3 linked regions of the Schizosaccharomyces pombe genome follow. The gene in region 1 interacts genetically with each later gene. Each region holds a gene or a part of one and is shown on either strand. Other genes may lie near its edges. The genes, in order: pkd2, ace2 and orb6.

The links.
Region 2: mutations in pkd2 (region 1) and ace2 impair growth when combined (synthetic growth defect), as found in Schizosaccharomyces pombe (one study listed by BioGRID).
Region 3: mutations in pkd2 (region 1) and orb6 impair growth when combined (synthetic growth defect), as found in Schizosaccharomyces pombe (one study listed by BioGRID).

The regions. Positions count from the first base shown.
Region 1 is NC_003424.3:4,217,644-4,223,754, forward strand, and holds pkd2 (plasma membrane TRP-like calcium ion channel Pkd2), read left to right. Parts: upstream 1-2,107; 5' UTR 2,108-2,357; coding exon 2,358-4,490; 3' UTR 4,491-5,004; downstream 5,005-6,111. Other genes in the region: ATP-dependent RNA helicase Has1, read right to left, coding at 1-1,511; protein tam6, read right to left, coding at 5,005-5,250. UniProt on the Schizosaccharomyces pombe protein: Acts as a key signaling component in the regulation of cell shape and cell wall synthesis through interaction with GTPase Rho1.
Region 2 is NC_003424.3:3,238,135-3,243,280, reverse strand, and holds ace2 (DNA-binding transcription factor Ace2), read left to right. Parts: upstream 1-2,127; 5' UTR 2,128-2,313; coding exon 2,314-3,915; 3' UTR 3,916-4,049; downstream 4,050-5,146. Other genes in the region: RNA-binding protein Nop9, read left to right, coding at 1-23; SPOM_SPAC6G9.01C (uncharacterized protein), read left to right, coding at 949-1,129, 1,528-1,626, 1,711-1,718; ubi3 (ubiquitin-40S ribosomal protein S31 fusion protein), read left to right, coding at 4,919-5,146. UniProt on the Schizosaccharomyces pombe protein: Regulates the transcription of genes required for cell separation.
Region 3 is NC_003424.3:1,005,731-1,011,158, forward strand, and holds orb6 (serine/threonine protein kinase Orb6), read left to right. Parts: upstream 1-2,532; 5' UTR 2,533-2,708; coding exon 2,709-2,851; intron 2,852-3,118; coding exon 3,119-3,293; intron 3,294-3,338; coding exon 3,339-4,430; 3' UTR 4,431-4,588; downstream 4,589-5,428. Other genes in the region: gamma-glutamyl phosphate reductase Pro1, read left to right, coding at 664-2,019; dnf1 (P-type ATPase), read right to left, coding at 4,910-5,428. UniProt on the Schizosaccharomyces pombe protein: Interacts with pak1/shk1 and coordinates cell morphogenesis with the cell cycle. It is essential for maintenance of cell polarity and is involved in mitotic control.

The sequences.
Region 1 (6,111 bases):
TATGAGGCATAGGCCTGCAAGTAGGAACGGTATCCATCCTTTGCAGACTGCTGCAAATAATAATTTTTGGAAACAAGCTTTTCGAGCTGAGATTGAACATTAGCAACTTTATTGGCAGGAAATTCAAACTCATTCAAAGAAACCTTGGCAGTTTTCAAATAACGAAGGAAACCGAGCTCAGAAGGAGCGAGGAACATAAGGGATTTACCAGTTCCCTTTGTTCCTCTAGCTGTACGACCTACACGATGAATATAATCTCGGGGGTCATCAGGAGGATCGTACTGCACGATCCAGTCAACGGCTGGAATATCTAACCCGCGTGCAGCAACATTGGTGCAAAGTAGTATTCCCTTTTCGGCATTGCAGAATTCAAAAAAGGTGTTTGTACGACGCTGTTGCTTTTGCTTGCCATGAAGATCAAGTACTGGTAAATCTATATAGTTCAGTAATTCTGCCATATATTTGACAGAAGCACAAGATGACATGAAAACAATAACTTTTTTCTTCAAATTGCGTTTTAAGAAGGAAAATAAAAGAAGAAACCGTTTGTCAGAATCAACTACAACATAACCTTGCTCCAATCCTTCAACGGTAGAGGTAGGCTTACCAGAATCAACGTTAACATACAAGGGTCCGGGCTTAAGAGAGATACGAGCAAGATCTTCAACTTTAGTTGTCTGTGTAGCAGAAAACAGGAGGGTTTGTCGATTTTCCGAGGGAAGGATTTTCATGATTTGTCTCATTTCGTCCTCAAAACCAATCTCCAAAATTCTGTCGGCTTCGTCAATCACTAAGGATCGTAAATTGCGGAATACAAATCCTTTGGTATTTTGCAAGTGATCCAGTAAACGACCAGGAGTAGCAACTAATAGGTTAACACCTTTCACCAATTTATCAGCTTCAGCACGGCGATTAGCACCGCCAATGACGATACCAAATGTTTGGTGATGGTATTTCAACAACTCCTTTGCGACACCAAAAATTTGAAGAGCCAATTCACGAGTAGGAGATATAATAATAACACCAGTACCATTACGAGGCTTAAATTTCAATGCATAAAGCATTTCAATGGTAGGAATTAGAAAAGCCAAAGTTTTACCACTACCAGTTTTAGCTGCACCTAAAACATCACGACCGGCCAAAAGAGGAGGAATAGAGCGCTTTTGAATTTCTGTCATCGTTTCAAAGCCCATTTCTTTAATTGCCTTTTGGATGTTTTCAGAGAGTTGTAGGTCTGAAAACTTTTCAATATCCGAAGTGGAAGAAGCGTTCAGGTTGACAGATTTTTGAACACGCTCATCTTCATTTTCATTATCTAATTCCTCACTTTCTGATTCTACTGAAGTATTTTGGTCAGCATCTTCATTTTCCTCTTCCTGCTCGTAATCGTCTTCGTCTTGAGGAAGTTCTTCAGCAATTTTTTTATCGTTTTTTAAAGGTTTTTGACGTTTTTCTTTTACTTCCTCATTACCCGATTGATGCTTTTTCCGCTTTAACTCGGATTTAGCCATCTTGTACAACGAATGCAGACTACTAATGAGTTTGGGAATTTGCAAAATGCTTGTATGAAAAATGGAAAAGTGGAAAACTGCGAAATGTATACCGCCGTAACGCAACGTGTCAAATCTATGCAGCAAAGTAAATAGCAATATTTAACGATATTCTTTTCATTCAACTTTCAAATGTTAAACAATTATAGTGTTCAAATTCGATTGAAATTCCTAATCTAAAGTTAGTGTCTTTTAATAAACATTTCGCTATCTATACTGCGTACTATGTCACATTAGGCTTAGTTTTACATTATGATATTTTAAAGTAGCTGTGGTGAATTTCTTTATGAAAGAAGTTTTGCTAAAATGACTTTTGTTAATACGTTACGAGTTGATTAAGCGTCAATTGACACTGTAGAATATAAAAATTATCTTATAAAAAAAAAAGAAAGGTCTATCGTACTATTAAATCCTCAATTACCAGTTATTTACTGGTTAGTGTGCTGGTAGTTTTCCATGTTAAATGGCTGTGATCTAAGGTAACAGGTACCGGGATTTGTCTCTAGTCATCACTTGTCTTGAACGGGTTGAGAATCTTTGATGATAATACAGCCACCCAGAGCAAACTATATTTTTGTTAATCATTCCCATTGTTATATATCCCTCGATTTAATTGGAATTAATAAGTTTTCAAATCTAACTTAATTTAAGAATAATAATAACTGGTTGTGGAGAATTTTAGCTACATTTGAGACTCAGTTACATTGGAATTCACAGTCTGTCTTTTCTATTCATTAATATCATCTTTTGACTTCACCTTCCTGTTTTTCCATTAATCAACTGTTTCTCACTACCATCAACTGCAAAATGAGGCTTTGGAGAAGCCCACTTTTACTCTTAGTTGTGGTCGTCGAGCTATTTTCATGGGCTGATGCTTTAACCAGATTCATTTCCGCCGACTCTCTGTCCACATGTATGACTGATTCACAGTTATCAGCAAGTAAGCTCTATGCCTCGTATTTTCCGGACAATCAATCTGTTGCCTTTGATATCTCGATACAATCTCTTGTTTCTACGAATGTCAGTATAGACGTCGACATTAGTGCATACGGAATCGAAATAAAGAAGGTGATAGATCCTTGCGATATGGAAATTTCTGGCTTCTGTCCAATGCAGACTGGAAATATTGCTTTATCTGGTAGTCATACTTTAACCGGAGAGGCTCTTTCTATTCTTGATAGTATTCCCTCCATTGCATACACAGTTCCGGATTTAGATGCTGTTGTGACTATTAATATTTATGAATCAGATACAAACACACAATTAGCTTGTGTTCGTACTACAGTGCAAAATGGTCGTTCTGTTTACCACAGAGCTGTTTACTGGGTTATGTGTATGGTAATCGGTATCCCACTTTTAATTTTCTTACTGATATCCCCTGTTCTTCAAACACCCGCACTTTGGGAAATCGTTGAAACGATGATTACCTTATTTCAGTTTGCTCAAATCCAGGCTTTGTATTCCATGATGGCTACTTCTCTTCCTGCTATCATTTACAGTTGGGGCCGTAATTTCATGTGGTCGATGGGTATTATCAGGATTGGCTTCATGCAAGATGTTTTTACATGGTACGTTAAATCAACTGGCGGCACGCCATCTACTCTTGTAGATTTGGGTATACATGCTAATGTCGCCCTCGCAAAACGTGGTATTGATTTGGGCTCTCTCGCCAAGCGTGCAACTACTACTGTCACCACTAGCACAAGTGATTCTATTACCCTGAGGGGAATCAAGCGTATTTCATATATGATGGGGATTGAAACGACGAATTTCTTTGCTACTGGGTTTTCCTTTTTTATTATATTGTTGTTCTTTTCATTACTAGTTGCTATGGCTTCTAGATTTATTGTTGAAATGGTGCTCCTTGCATCCAGAAATCAAGCTTTGAAAAAGCAACGTATCCGTCTTTATTGGAAATCTATATCCAAAGGATTTTTCTATCGTGTGATTTTTGTCGGATTCACTCAAATGAGTGTTTTGTCCATGTGGGAAATCTATACTCGTGATTCTTCCGCTTTGGCATTTTTATCAATGTACGTGATTGTGGACATGGCAGTTTTGCTCTGCTATGCATTTGTGCGGACAATTCAAATTATCCGCAAAACAGGACCTTATTCCCATCCTGACGTCTTGTACAACCTATATTCTGACACTCAACACTTGATGCGTTGGGGCTTTATGTACGTGCAATTAGACGTCCGTTTCTTTTACTTTACTTTCCCACTGTTGCTTATAACCTTGGTACGCTCAATGTTCATCGGTTTTGGTCAGGGCTCACCCAAAGTCCAGGGCTGTGCCATGTTTGGTATTAGCGTTGTCGTTTTTGCTCTTATGGTGATTCTCCGACCTTATGCCACTAAACACATGAATACTTTGCATATCGGTGTTGCTTTAATGAATTTGATAAGTGGTTCTTTTATTTTAGTGATGTGTCAAGCTTTTTATGTGGAGGAATTAGCTCGTCAAGTTATTGGCATTATATTTTTTGCATTGAACGCTATTACAATGCTTCTTTTGATCCTGGGTATATTTATACGTACACTTATCGTCCTGTTCCGTAAATCAGGACATGGTACTTATTACCGTATCCTCGATGACCAAAGCGAGAAGGCTACCTCGTATAACAAATCTATTAAGGATATGAGCTCTTCCGACATGGCCTTCTCTGATCCGGCTTACTCTGGAACTACGTTGAGAAGCTCCGTTGACCTTAATACACCAGAATATCCGTTTTCGAATCGTAATGATTCAGACAGTACGTTCACAAATAACAAATATGTTTCCCCTTGGGACGCTATCGAAGAAGCTTCGTATGCCAACCTTCGTGGAAATACTGACGTCGAACAACCATTTATGGAATCAGATTATACCCGCATCTCTGAAAATAATAACAACGCTGAACGTCGACGCAAACCATTACCTAACAATGCTTTTCGTTAAACGTGGATGGAAAATGTTGTGTCGTATTACATATATATTACATTCCATCTACCTTACACATTCTTTCATTATTATACAATTGTTGTCTCTGAGATTTTTTTAAACTATAATTTTCTACAAAGTTTGGGGTAAAAGACCTTTAAAACAATTCACACAAGCATTCTTACAATGAACTCGACGAGGAGGTTCAATAAGCAATCAATGTCTAAATCTTATTTTTAGACAAAAGTCAACTATTTAGTGTATTCGCATCCTTTTTTTTATTTATGGTTCTTTTTTTAATTATATTTCAGAATTTTCCCTTCATTTCTGCTTCTTTTCTTTTATTCCATAATTGTTATAGTGTATAGGTTTAGTTACCATTTAAGCATATTTGTTGGATGTGCATCAGAAAGCAAAAAAACTTCACCCGTTTGATTAAAATGCAATTTAGTAAAAAACATTTACTTCTGATTCAAGTTACTTCTTCACGTCTTAAGATAACTGATAATAGAAAACGACGTTTATTAACATTTTATTGAAACAATCTATAGACACCGGTAAGAATAAATCCATAAGCCATTCCCAAAATACCGAATCGTTTAAGCTTGTAATTGGGTGTATTCAAAGGAATTCTAGATTGCGAATAGGCATATATTCCTAGACCTGTGAAAGCGCCTGCGCCCACCAAGCGGCATGGCAAGCAATCGTACTGTTCAAACCTTGGATCGTCTAAATCGACGGGTTTGGGAGTTTGTTGGAAACTTGATGATGGCATCATCGAAAGCTATCAGTTTAATTTATAAACTATAAAAAAAAAGTAACCGCGTAAATATATATGTGTATAATTAAGAGGCCACACAGCTTTCAACCACTTTCACTTTATAAACAAGATTAAAGCACTAAAAGGTAAAGTTTACTCAACCCGCTTTTTCTTTTCTTGTCAACTACAAAATGAAATGTCAGCGATCAATAATACGGTATCCAATTTGATAGATGTTCAATAATAACGACTCAGGACTTTTTTCTCTTTCAATTTGTGGGAAATCTATAGGGCGCGCTGTTCAAACTGTTTAATATATTGGTCTTATGTTCTCCAGTACTGAAATGAATCAATGGCAAAAGTTAAAAGAGACAAAGTAGTGAGTTAAGAGCTAAGTTATAGATCTACTGAAACCGTCTGTTTTATTTTAACTATGAAGAAGAATAAAAGAGGCTAAAGTTACATTTCATTTTTGTATATTTGTAGATCTGCTACCGGATCAATATTTTTTTGGGCGATATAATTTTAGTAAAATTAAAGTAGGATTTTATTGATCTCGAGAAATAAGAGAGCAAACAAAACGACGATAGAAAGAAAGAGCATCGTAATATTGCTTTATTACTTCAATCTGACATGTAAAATTATTTTTCGGCACCAAAAATTGCCGCTTTTTGAATTTAGGAATTCATCTCACATTTGCATTTTACAAATAGAATGCTGTTTAATTTTATGAGTATACAATTATAATTATAGCTATTTATACGAAGCTTTGCTTCTTTATGTCTCTTCCAAAAGTTTCTATATTCCTGCTATGTTTATTATTTATAAAATACTGAAATAAAGTGTGTACGTTAAAATAGGATAAGCGGATTAAATGCG
Region 2 (5,146 bases), 980 kb from region 1:
GTCCTAAAAGAGTGAAAGTCTGAAGGAGAAAAGGTTTCCATTGGTTAAATTGAAATGCACGGCATTTTTACGTCTCGCCAATTTAAGCATGGCATTTTGTTGGTCAAAAAAAAGTTATGTTTTTAATTTAGGTAATATAGGTATTTAATTTTGTTGCGGTTTGCTATGTATAGAGGCGCTTTTGCAGAGTAAGGAAGTAAACTTTGTAAAAGGAATTGTATTTCTAATTATGAATTGATCAACTGAAGAAGAGGTTTCGAATTTTTTGAATTGTTCTACCACTAATAATTTGTGTTTTGTATATTTGTATTCAAATGTTTTGCCTTATTTCTCTAAGGTGGTTTCTAGGCTGAAAAAGAATTGACAGAGGTTTTGAGCTGATTTTCATTGTCAAATAGTATTCACTTTATTTTTATCTTATGCTTAATTACTAAAGTATTTCGTTTATTAAGCAATGAGATTTTGCATTTGTTAATTTGATACAGCAATAATTCGCTTCTTAAATGAAGACAAAAAGTGTTAATTTATGGTATTAGGATAGAGTTGACCTAAATATGCTTTTATAAAGAAAGCTTGGCCAAAGAATTGTCTACATTTTATTGCCGTTTCGAAATACCGATGACAGAGGTGATACAGCTTCTAAACAAAATTAAACAATTTTAAACATAATAAAGAACCAAAGGAAAAAAAAGGAATCGATCAATCTCATGCCTTAATGCTGGTACAAGTTTCTTCTGAAGAATCATTCTTATAAATATTACAAATTCTTTACCGTAATACGAGAGAATACGTTATGCAGATTTAAGCATTTTAGAGAATTCTTATTTTATGAAGCACGGTACCGCAAAAGAATTTCTAGCAAGTTTGCAAGCTACAACAAACTGTCTCTCTACTCAATTATACAATTGCCATTGACTTGGCAAACTCCTCTCTACGAGTATTTAAAAGATGGAAATCGACGACATTTTTGCTTCTAAAAAGGCAAACCCTGCAAATGAAAAGTCAAATGACTCAAAGTCGGAGGCGAAAGCCCCTAAGAAAGGAGCCAAGACAAAATCTACTCCAAGTCGTCCAAAACCTACTAATAACCAAGACGATTTATTTTTAGATCCAAAGGGAGCCTCAGGAAGTAAGACACTTTTTGCCGTTTGATAGTTCATCCTTACATACGTTCTCGCTACTTGGTTAATGATTGCATTCGTTCATGTTTGGCATCCGCGTTGTTTGTCAATTCTTTGACCTCAAATTCATATTTATTGTCTAAAAGATTGAGAAACTTCGAACTGTGCTATATACTTATTTATTTATTATATACTGCTAGAGCTAGATTACGTTTTTCTAGGGAGATACATTTCACAATGATGTTTAGTGTTGGTGGAGACTCCAAATCATTAAGCTCTATTGTGTGGTATTGAACCTTATTCGCTATTCTGTTTACGGGAATGTTTGCCGAACGATGCAATACTTACCTAGCAACGGCACTTTTCTCCTTATCATCAGTAATTGTATTAACGTTTTGTGTTTTAGGAAAGCGTACCGAGGAAGGGTTTCTTGTATATGACGAGGAGGAATTAAACATTGGCCAAGGTGGAGGTACACCGGATTGCCCTTTTGATTGTCAGTGTTGTAAGTAACTTATTCATTGCATTTAAAAACTTTTCCATGGCATTTTTTCTCTTGCTAGCTCTATACTAATACTAATACCTTAAGGTTTTTGATCTCAACGTCGTTGTCGTTTTTTCAGGTTGGTTACCGTTTTTTTTTGGCTTGTCATACTTAATCTATGTTTTCTAATATCATCCATGATCCAGTTGTTGAAGCGTAGACATTTTCATAGCCGTGATTATCCTGTTTATTAGTGGTAGTGTCTTTCAATCAAACCTTTTACTGGTTTAATTCAAAAAATAGTTGATTTGTCCCTTTGGCAACAAAAGGTAAATAAACAATCCCTGGGTCTGTGTTTACACTTGTATTGCGTTGTTGTGATATGGTTCGGTAATCCATGCAATGTAAACAAATAGTGACTTGTTTTGCGGTAAAGTGAAGCATAAAATTCAACAATTGTCGTCATAGCAACGGAGTAGCTATTTGATATAAACAAATAGCCAGCGCACCAAACATTGCTGTAACAAACAAAAAAAAATCGAAGAGTGATTAGTTCAATCATCTACTGGGTTAGACTGGCTTTGAGCCACACTTTCATCTCACTTCAAGTTATCAAGCACTCTTTTCAAGAGTCATTTCTCTCATCGTTCTCTCCTTGATTTCTCTACGCATTGCACTAGATACTCGCTATCCTAAGTAAACAAGACAATGTCGCTTTCATATTTATCATCTTCTTCGCAAAAGTCGTTTGAATCATTTCGACAAGAAGAGAGTCCAGCTTGTAATCATTCGTACCAAAGGGATTATGAAACTTTTGGCGATAGCAAGCATACTTCTTTTTCCTCCTTCGCTCCCTTTGAAAATGAGGTGTCTTTAAATCAAGCTGTTATCCCTTCACCGCCTTCTCATCTTCAGAACTTTCAAGATCAGTTTGACTATAGTTCTGTTCTAAAAACACCGTTTAACCCTTTGTTGGAAGCGAATTCTGCATACTTTTTATCGAACCAAATATCGCTCCCCGACTCTCACTCGTATGCATCCTCCTTTGATGCTTCCTTATCACCCCCTTCCTCGCCTTTAACTTGCGTATCACAAATCCATACCGAGCAAAATTTTAATAACAATGACGCATTTTCCTTGACCAACTCTCAACAGGCCTTTTCCGAAATTGGTTATGATGCATCAAATTGGATTGATGAGCTGGACTCTCAACAACAAGTCCTTTCGTTTCCTGAGTTTGACATACCAGAAATAAAGACGGAAACTTGCTCCAACAAAGATCACCTCGAAAATTTCGACTACCTTTCCTCAAGTATACCTGAAACCTCGGGTCCTGCCTCTTCCGTTCTTCCCAGCTCTTCGCAATTGGAATCATTTAATGAGTTTATGTTCCTCCCATCCTCTCCCCCTGGATTAGATGAGATAAACGGTGCGCCTTCATTTGAAGAATTGAACTTTCAAATATCCCAACCAAGTCCGGCACATCCTGTAGACTTATCGAGTCCAGAGACTGCACCTAATATCTCCCCTGTATCCCCATTTGCCCAACTTGTAAAGCTAGAGCCCACTTCGCCTCAAAAGCCCTCCTTTGCTCTAGATTCTTCGTTTTCCCATTTGGATGTATGCAGGCATACTGACAACCAGAAAGCGTTTGCAAAGTTATCATCACCTGCTGAATACGTTTCTGAATTTGAAAAATTCTCATCCGTTTGCGATCATGGACTTGACATATCGAACGCAAATATCAACAACACTTTGACACAGCAGTTTGCATTAAGTGCACCTTATGAATCTTGCATAGTTACCAAGAAACCTGAACCTTGTATCACTGTCAAGGAAGAAGAACAATTAGCTCCAAAAATTGAATCTGCTGATTTATCAATTACTCCTCAAGTCACCGAGCATGATTCCAAACCTCCGGTCAGAATTTCATACGATCATAGATGCAAAACTCGCAAGCAATCAACTAGGATTTGTAGAATTCCTCCGGAGACAATGGCTAGCTTATATTGCGGCCCTGAAGCAGATGGAAAGTACGTCTGTTTGTACAACGGGTGCAATAAACGTATTGCTCGCAAATATAATGTTGAATCGCATATTCAAACACATCTGAGCGACCGTCCGTATCGCTGTGACTTATGCAAAGCTGGCTTTGTTCGTCACCACGATCTTAAGCGTCATCTGAGGATTCACGAAAATGGCAGGCCATATGTATGTGAATGCTTAAAGAGATTTAACCGACTTGATGCCTTAAATCGGCATAAGCAGAGAAATATATGTGTTGGCGGCGTAGATCGCAGACAGCACTAATGATGACAGCTGTACAACTTGCATCGCATTGCATTATAATGAGTTATGTTTGGTTTTTTTTTGGGATTTTTTAATTTTACTAATATTATTGTTTTTAATTTGCTTTTATATAAATTCAAATTCAAGCATCGTACATGAACTAATGCTGTGACAATTTTGATAATTTATCAACTTGTATCTGTCTTTTGTATATTTATTCATCACCCTAGTATTGTGTATAACTCTGCATCATCTAAAATCTACAGATTAATCTTTGTGAAATGGAAATACAACTATGAAGTTGTTCGTATCGTTGAACGGCTGAAATGGTAAAACTAGTTTCCCCAAACCTGACAAACAACTTGGATACATGAGTAAGAATTAGTGTTTGCTTTCACTCGCACCGATGTTTAGTCAACATATGTTTAAGTTGGTATTTCTAGGGAAAACTTGTATTTAATTACTATAGTATGCGAAGTATTTCATTGGAAAACAGTGGTTGTAGTATGCTGCCAAGCAAGCATTTATTATGATAATAATAATTCAACAAATTAATCACTATGACTTAAACAGAGAAACCAATGATTGTTTTAACTATTATTGCTGGTCATTGGAGGAAATTTTGTCGGCAAGAGAAAAGATAATTCATTTCTATTTGCAAAGAACCAAAAAATACGAAAACTCGTCGTAGCTTATGCAAACACAAAATCACAGGTTTACAAGCCTTTACTACACTAAATCACCATATATGAATCATTCAATAGGATATAATTGACATCAATTAGTGACAAACTGTCGATATTAATACAAGGGAATCAGGATTTTCATTTCAGCATTACGATTTTAAAAATTGTGAGAAATGTTAAATTGTGTTATATAATTAACGCAAACGTTAATTCTCAGTACGAGAAACTTGCGTTACACCCTAACCTACGTGAGTTAAAACCAGTCACGCATCCATATATCACAATGCAACATCAATATTTTCCTCCATCCGCGAGGAAGAGGCAATACTTTGCTGACGATGCAGATCTTTGTAAAAACCCTTACGGGTAAGACCATTACCCTTGAGGTTGAATCCTCTGACACTATTGACAATGTCAAGAGCAAAATCCAAGATAAGGAAGGAATTCCTCCTGATCAACAACGTTTGATCTTTGCTGGCAAGCAACTCGAGGACGGACGTACTTTGTCTGATTATAACATCCAAAAGGAGTCCACTCTTCACCTCGTTTTGCGTCTTCGTGGTGGT
Region 3 (5,428 bases), 3.2 Mb from region 1:
GAAAAGATGAACAAACAATTTTGTTTGTTGAGCTGTGCATTTCAACTAGAAGCATCTTTAATTTGAATTAAAAACAACTAGATCAAATTGATTCAGTAATAACTGGACACCATGCTAATAAATGTTTTTGCTTTTACGATATGACTATAATTTATTCATGAGAAATACGAAGTGTGTAATAATCCAAATTCTCTATGGAATATACAAAGCACACTTTAAAATTAGTATCTTTGTATTTCTTAACCGAAGATACCCAGTTGCTCATTTTTTAGTCTTTTGTTTACAAGCATAATTCTTGCACTACGTGAAAAGTGAAAAGTAAGGCTACTATATATAGTAACGGAAAAACAAAAACTGAAAATATAACACTAACTGTTCTTGAGGTTGCAAAATATTTTTAGTTAACTGCAGAAGTACTCTCACTTTCCATGATTTCGTATCTTTCAGAAATCTTAGTTATGCTTAATGTAAAGTAACAATGCTTGATTTTGTTACTTGAAGGGTGTTAAATAAATCACGAACTTGCATTATTCATACATTAGAAAAAACAACCAAAATACTACAAAAAGTAGTCTTTTTGAGCTAGCCATTCTAAGAATAAGAATTCGCTTGATTTAAATCTCCCAATTGCCTCTACTCAAAGTTGTATAAGTATTGTTTAGCATGTCTCTTGAAGAGAATGTAAAGGAAGCGAAAAACGCTTTTAACATTTTACAGACATTATCAGTGGAAGACCGTGATGATGCATTGGATAAAATAGTTGAAGAACTGCGCATAAAAAAGTCAGAGGTTCTAGCTGCAAATGCTGAAGATATGAAAGCAGCTAAGCTCTTGGCTGAATCAGGAAAACTAAGTTCATCGATGGTTAAAAGATTGGATCTGTCTTCATCTGATAAATACGATTCCATGGTACAGGGTGTTTTAGATGTTAAAAGTTTGCCTGATCCCCTTGGTCGTGTTACTTATGCTCGTAGTCTTGACGATGGTTTGGACCTTTATAAAGTCTCTTGCCCTGTAGGTTTATTGCTAGTCATTTTTGAAGCTAGACCTGAAGTAATCATTAATATTACTTCCCTGGCTATCAAATCTGGTAATGCTGTTGTACTTAAAGGAGGCACGGAATCAGCAAAGTCTTTCGCTGCACTTTCTAATGTTGTTCGCTCTGCCTTGGGCAAAAGTAAGGTTCCACAGGCTGCTGTGCAGCTTGTTCAGAGTCGCGAGGAGGTATCACAATTATTAAAATTGGATGAGTACATAGATTTGGTTATTCCCCGCGGCAGCACTAATCTTGTACGCCATATAAAAGATAACACAAAAATTCCTGTTTTAGGTCATGCTGCAGGACTATGCTCCATGTACGTCCATGAGGATGCTGATATGGAATTGGCTAGTAAACTTGTTCTGGATGGAAAAACTGATTATCCAGCAGCATGTAATGCAATTGAAACTTTGTTAATTAACGAAGCTGTTTTATCTTCTCATCTTCCTAAAATTGCTGAAACTTTAACTGAAGCAAAAGTTACATTAAAATGTGATCCCGCTTCTCTTAAGGTTTTAAAGGATATGCCAAAAGTTAGTGCTCTAGTTGAACCATCTGTCGATCAAGATTACAACACTGAATTCTCTGATTTGATTCTTGCTATTAAGACTGTACCTTCCTTACAGTCCGCAATGCAGCATATAAATACACATGGTTCTAAACACACGGATTGCATTATCACTTCTAGTGAAGCAGCTGCTAACAGATTCATGGCTGGAATTGATGCTTCTGGTGTGTATTGGAATGCTTCAACCAGATTTGCCGATGGTTTTCGTTATGGTTACGGTACCGAAGTTGGCATCAGCACCAACAAAATTCATGCTCGAGGACCAATGGGTCTTGATGGGTTAACTATTTACAAGTACCAACTTAGAGGAAATGGTCAAGTTGCAAGTAGTTATGGAGTTGGACCTGGCAAACGCGCATTTAAACATACCCCTATTAATATAGACAATATTTCTCAGGTTTCGAAAAAATAAACACAAAAAAGATTTGAAAATTATGTGAAATTGTCAACGTTTTGGCTAGCTGCATTTTGGATACAAATCGGTTAGGCTTTTTTTGTTTACTTGTTTGTCTATAATATTTAAATGGGAGTTTCAATAATGTGAAGTTATTAAATGAAGAGTAAACACCAAATTAAATAGATAACTATTCCTGTAGAGTTCGATCCACCACCTTTAGTTTTTATTACACAAATATTTTTATGGTGAAGAACGAATTGATGTCTCCGTCCGTCTTTTTTGACTATTCATTTCAATTCAGATTCTAAAATCTTCGTAAGCTAAGATTCTTGGCTTCAGTTAGTAGCGTCGTAATATTGAACAGGGAGGGTTAGGAAATGCGCGGAGCTTATCGCAAGCGATCGTTGAAGTTATATAACAAACTGCAGAAGTACTTGCTTTTCCAGTATCGCAGTTTAACATATTTTTATCGGATTATACCTTAGCTGGCAGTAGTCCTATAATTAAAAAAGCATAATAGGACTTGTCATTTACCATATCCGATTTATCACTGTCTCATTTCTGTTTTGCATGTCTTGTTAATTCATGTTTTAAGCGATTGAATTTCAATCTTTTAACAATTTCTTTTTGTTAATTAATTCGTTGACCTTGTAGTTGATTCTAATTAGTGTAAAAATTCCATTTATTGCAACATTTCTTTCAATATGGATAAGAATGATTACTTACACTTTGAACGGAACCCTTCATTATTTCCGAAATCAACTTTAGACAAAGTCCAAAAGACAAAGAAATATATTGAACATTATTACAAGGTGGCAGTTGATCATGCTGTAGAGCGCAACCAAAGGTACGAGTAGCATTACTATTCAGGGTTCTAGCATTGTTTCACATTCCTCAATTAGTATTCCCATCTTATACGTTGATCGGATAAGTATCAAAGACGATGCTTTTATTAATTCTTTCTCCGTTCTCAACTTCGCGTGTTGCAGTAAATGCATAATCTCGAATGTTTATAAAATCTTAGACAGCTTACTCATCTTGTTTCGAAAATGTTAATTAATAATGCTAGCTTCCGTTTAATTTACTTTTAGGTATAAATACTAATTCTCTTTAGACGTATCAATTTGGAGCAACGATTAGCAACCGAAAGGGGTTCTGAGGAGAGAAAGAATAGGCAGTTAAGAGCATCTGGTGAAAAAGAGTCTCAATTTCTTCGATTTCGTCGTACACGGCTTTCTTTAGAAGATTTTTCTACCATCAAAGTTATTGGGAAAGGTGCATTTGGCGAGGTACGTTTGCATAATTGTTTATGTTTTTGGTATCTAATTAAATAGGTTCGGTTGGTTCAGAAACTCGATACGGGTAAAATCTATGCCATGAAATCTTTGCTTAAAACTGAAATGTTCAAACGTGACCAGCTGGCTCATGTCAAAGCAGAACGCGACTTATTAGTTGAATCTGACTCCCCATGGGTGGTGTCATTGTATTATGCTTTTCAAGATTCACTGTATCTTTACTTGATTATGGAGTTTTTACCAGGCGGTGATTTGATGACCATGCTAATAAATTATGATACTTTTTCAGAAGACGTTACTCGCTTCTACATGGCTGAGTGCGTTTTGGCTATAGCTGATGTTCATCGAATGGGTTATATTCATCGGGATATAAAACCGGATAACATACTGATTGACCGGGATGGCCATATAAAACTTTCTGATTTCGGACTTTCCACTGGTTTTTACAAGCAAGATCAGAGTGCCTCTTACATGAAACCTCGCACAGGAAATACTGTCAAACGTGGTCAAATGGTAGATGCTATCTGGCTTACAATGTCTTCCAAGGACAAAATGGCTACTTGGAAAAAGAACCGTAGGGTGATGGCCTATAGCACTGTGGGTACTCCTGATTATATCGCTCCAGAAATTTTCTTGCAACAAGGGTATGGTCAAGATTGTGATTGGTGGAGTTTAGGCGCTATCATGTTCGAGTGCTTAATTGGATGGCCTCCCTTTTGCAGTGAAAACTCTCATGAAACTTATCGAAAAATCATCAATTGGCGTGAGACTCTGACTTTCCCAAATGATATACATTTAAGCATAGAAGCTCGTGATTTGATGGACCGACTTATGACAGATTCAGAACACAGATTAGGTCGTGGCGGTGCTATTGAAATAATGCAACATCCTTTCTTTACTGGAATCGATTGGGATCATATACGAGAAACTGCAGCTCCATTTATTCCGAATTTGAAATCTATTACCGATACACATTATTTCCCTGTTGATGAGCTTGAACAAGTTCCTGAACAACCTGTCACACAACAACCTGCTTCTGTTGACCCTCAGACGTTGGAACAAACCAATCTGGCATTCCTTGGGTACACTTACAAAAAATTCAATTATTTAACGATGAAAGGAGCATTGTAAGACTTCTGCAAGAAACTCCATAGCTACTTTGTTCATTGTCCTTTGAGCATCTAACTATTGTTATCGAATTTTTTTTATCGTTAATTCATGTTTACCTTCTTTTACATTATTTTAGCATAACTAATAATATTACCAATTACTTTTTTTTAATGTTGTCCCTACTGATAAAATCTTACATGCACTTCTGTAAATATTAAATTCGTTGCATAAGAATTCCAAATTAATGCATAGATTTTATTAGGGAAAAGATAAAAAAGAGTGAGTAAAAAACATGTATTAATAAGTACAACAGGATGTTAACGCCAAGAAAACCAACCAAAATAGTAAACAATAATTATGAAATGCGGATCATGACCCATAACTAATAGACAATTTCTAATTGAACAGTGGGAACCCCAGAATTTTAACATTTTACCAGTAAACTGACTATCGTCTAAAGAAAGTTTCATATACTAGAATTGGATTAATGAATTAAATGCCTAATCTCGGCTTTTTAAATATTGTTCAATTTCATCGACAGATGGTGCATTGGCTTGTAAAAACTCACCGCTCTCTTGCTCAAACCGAGAGCGGACAAAGGCATCGTTTTCCATTTCCACAAATATGTCGGTGTCCGTAGGACGTAAAGTCCTTCGTAACATTTGGGCAACAATATCAATTGTTAAAGCACAAACCATTACAAAAAGCATAGTAAGCCACCATGAAGGATTTTTGCCAAAATGATGGAGAAACTGTGATCTAGCAAGATATAAATTCTTGTCCGGATAATGCTCGCTTATAAAGATATTAAATAAAAACCAAGCCAAGGACGTTAAAACAAGTACTATTATAGAAATGATGTTTATGTATTGCATCTCTATAAAGACCAATTTGAAATTCATGATAAAAATAGCAGCAGTAAAAATGAGTTGACCATAAGCGAAGATATTGTTGTCATTAAGTTCCTTCATTCCAAATAAACTATACGTAACATAGAAAACTAAGAAAGCTTGAATGAA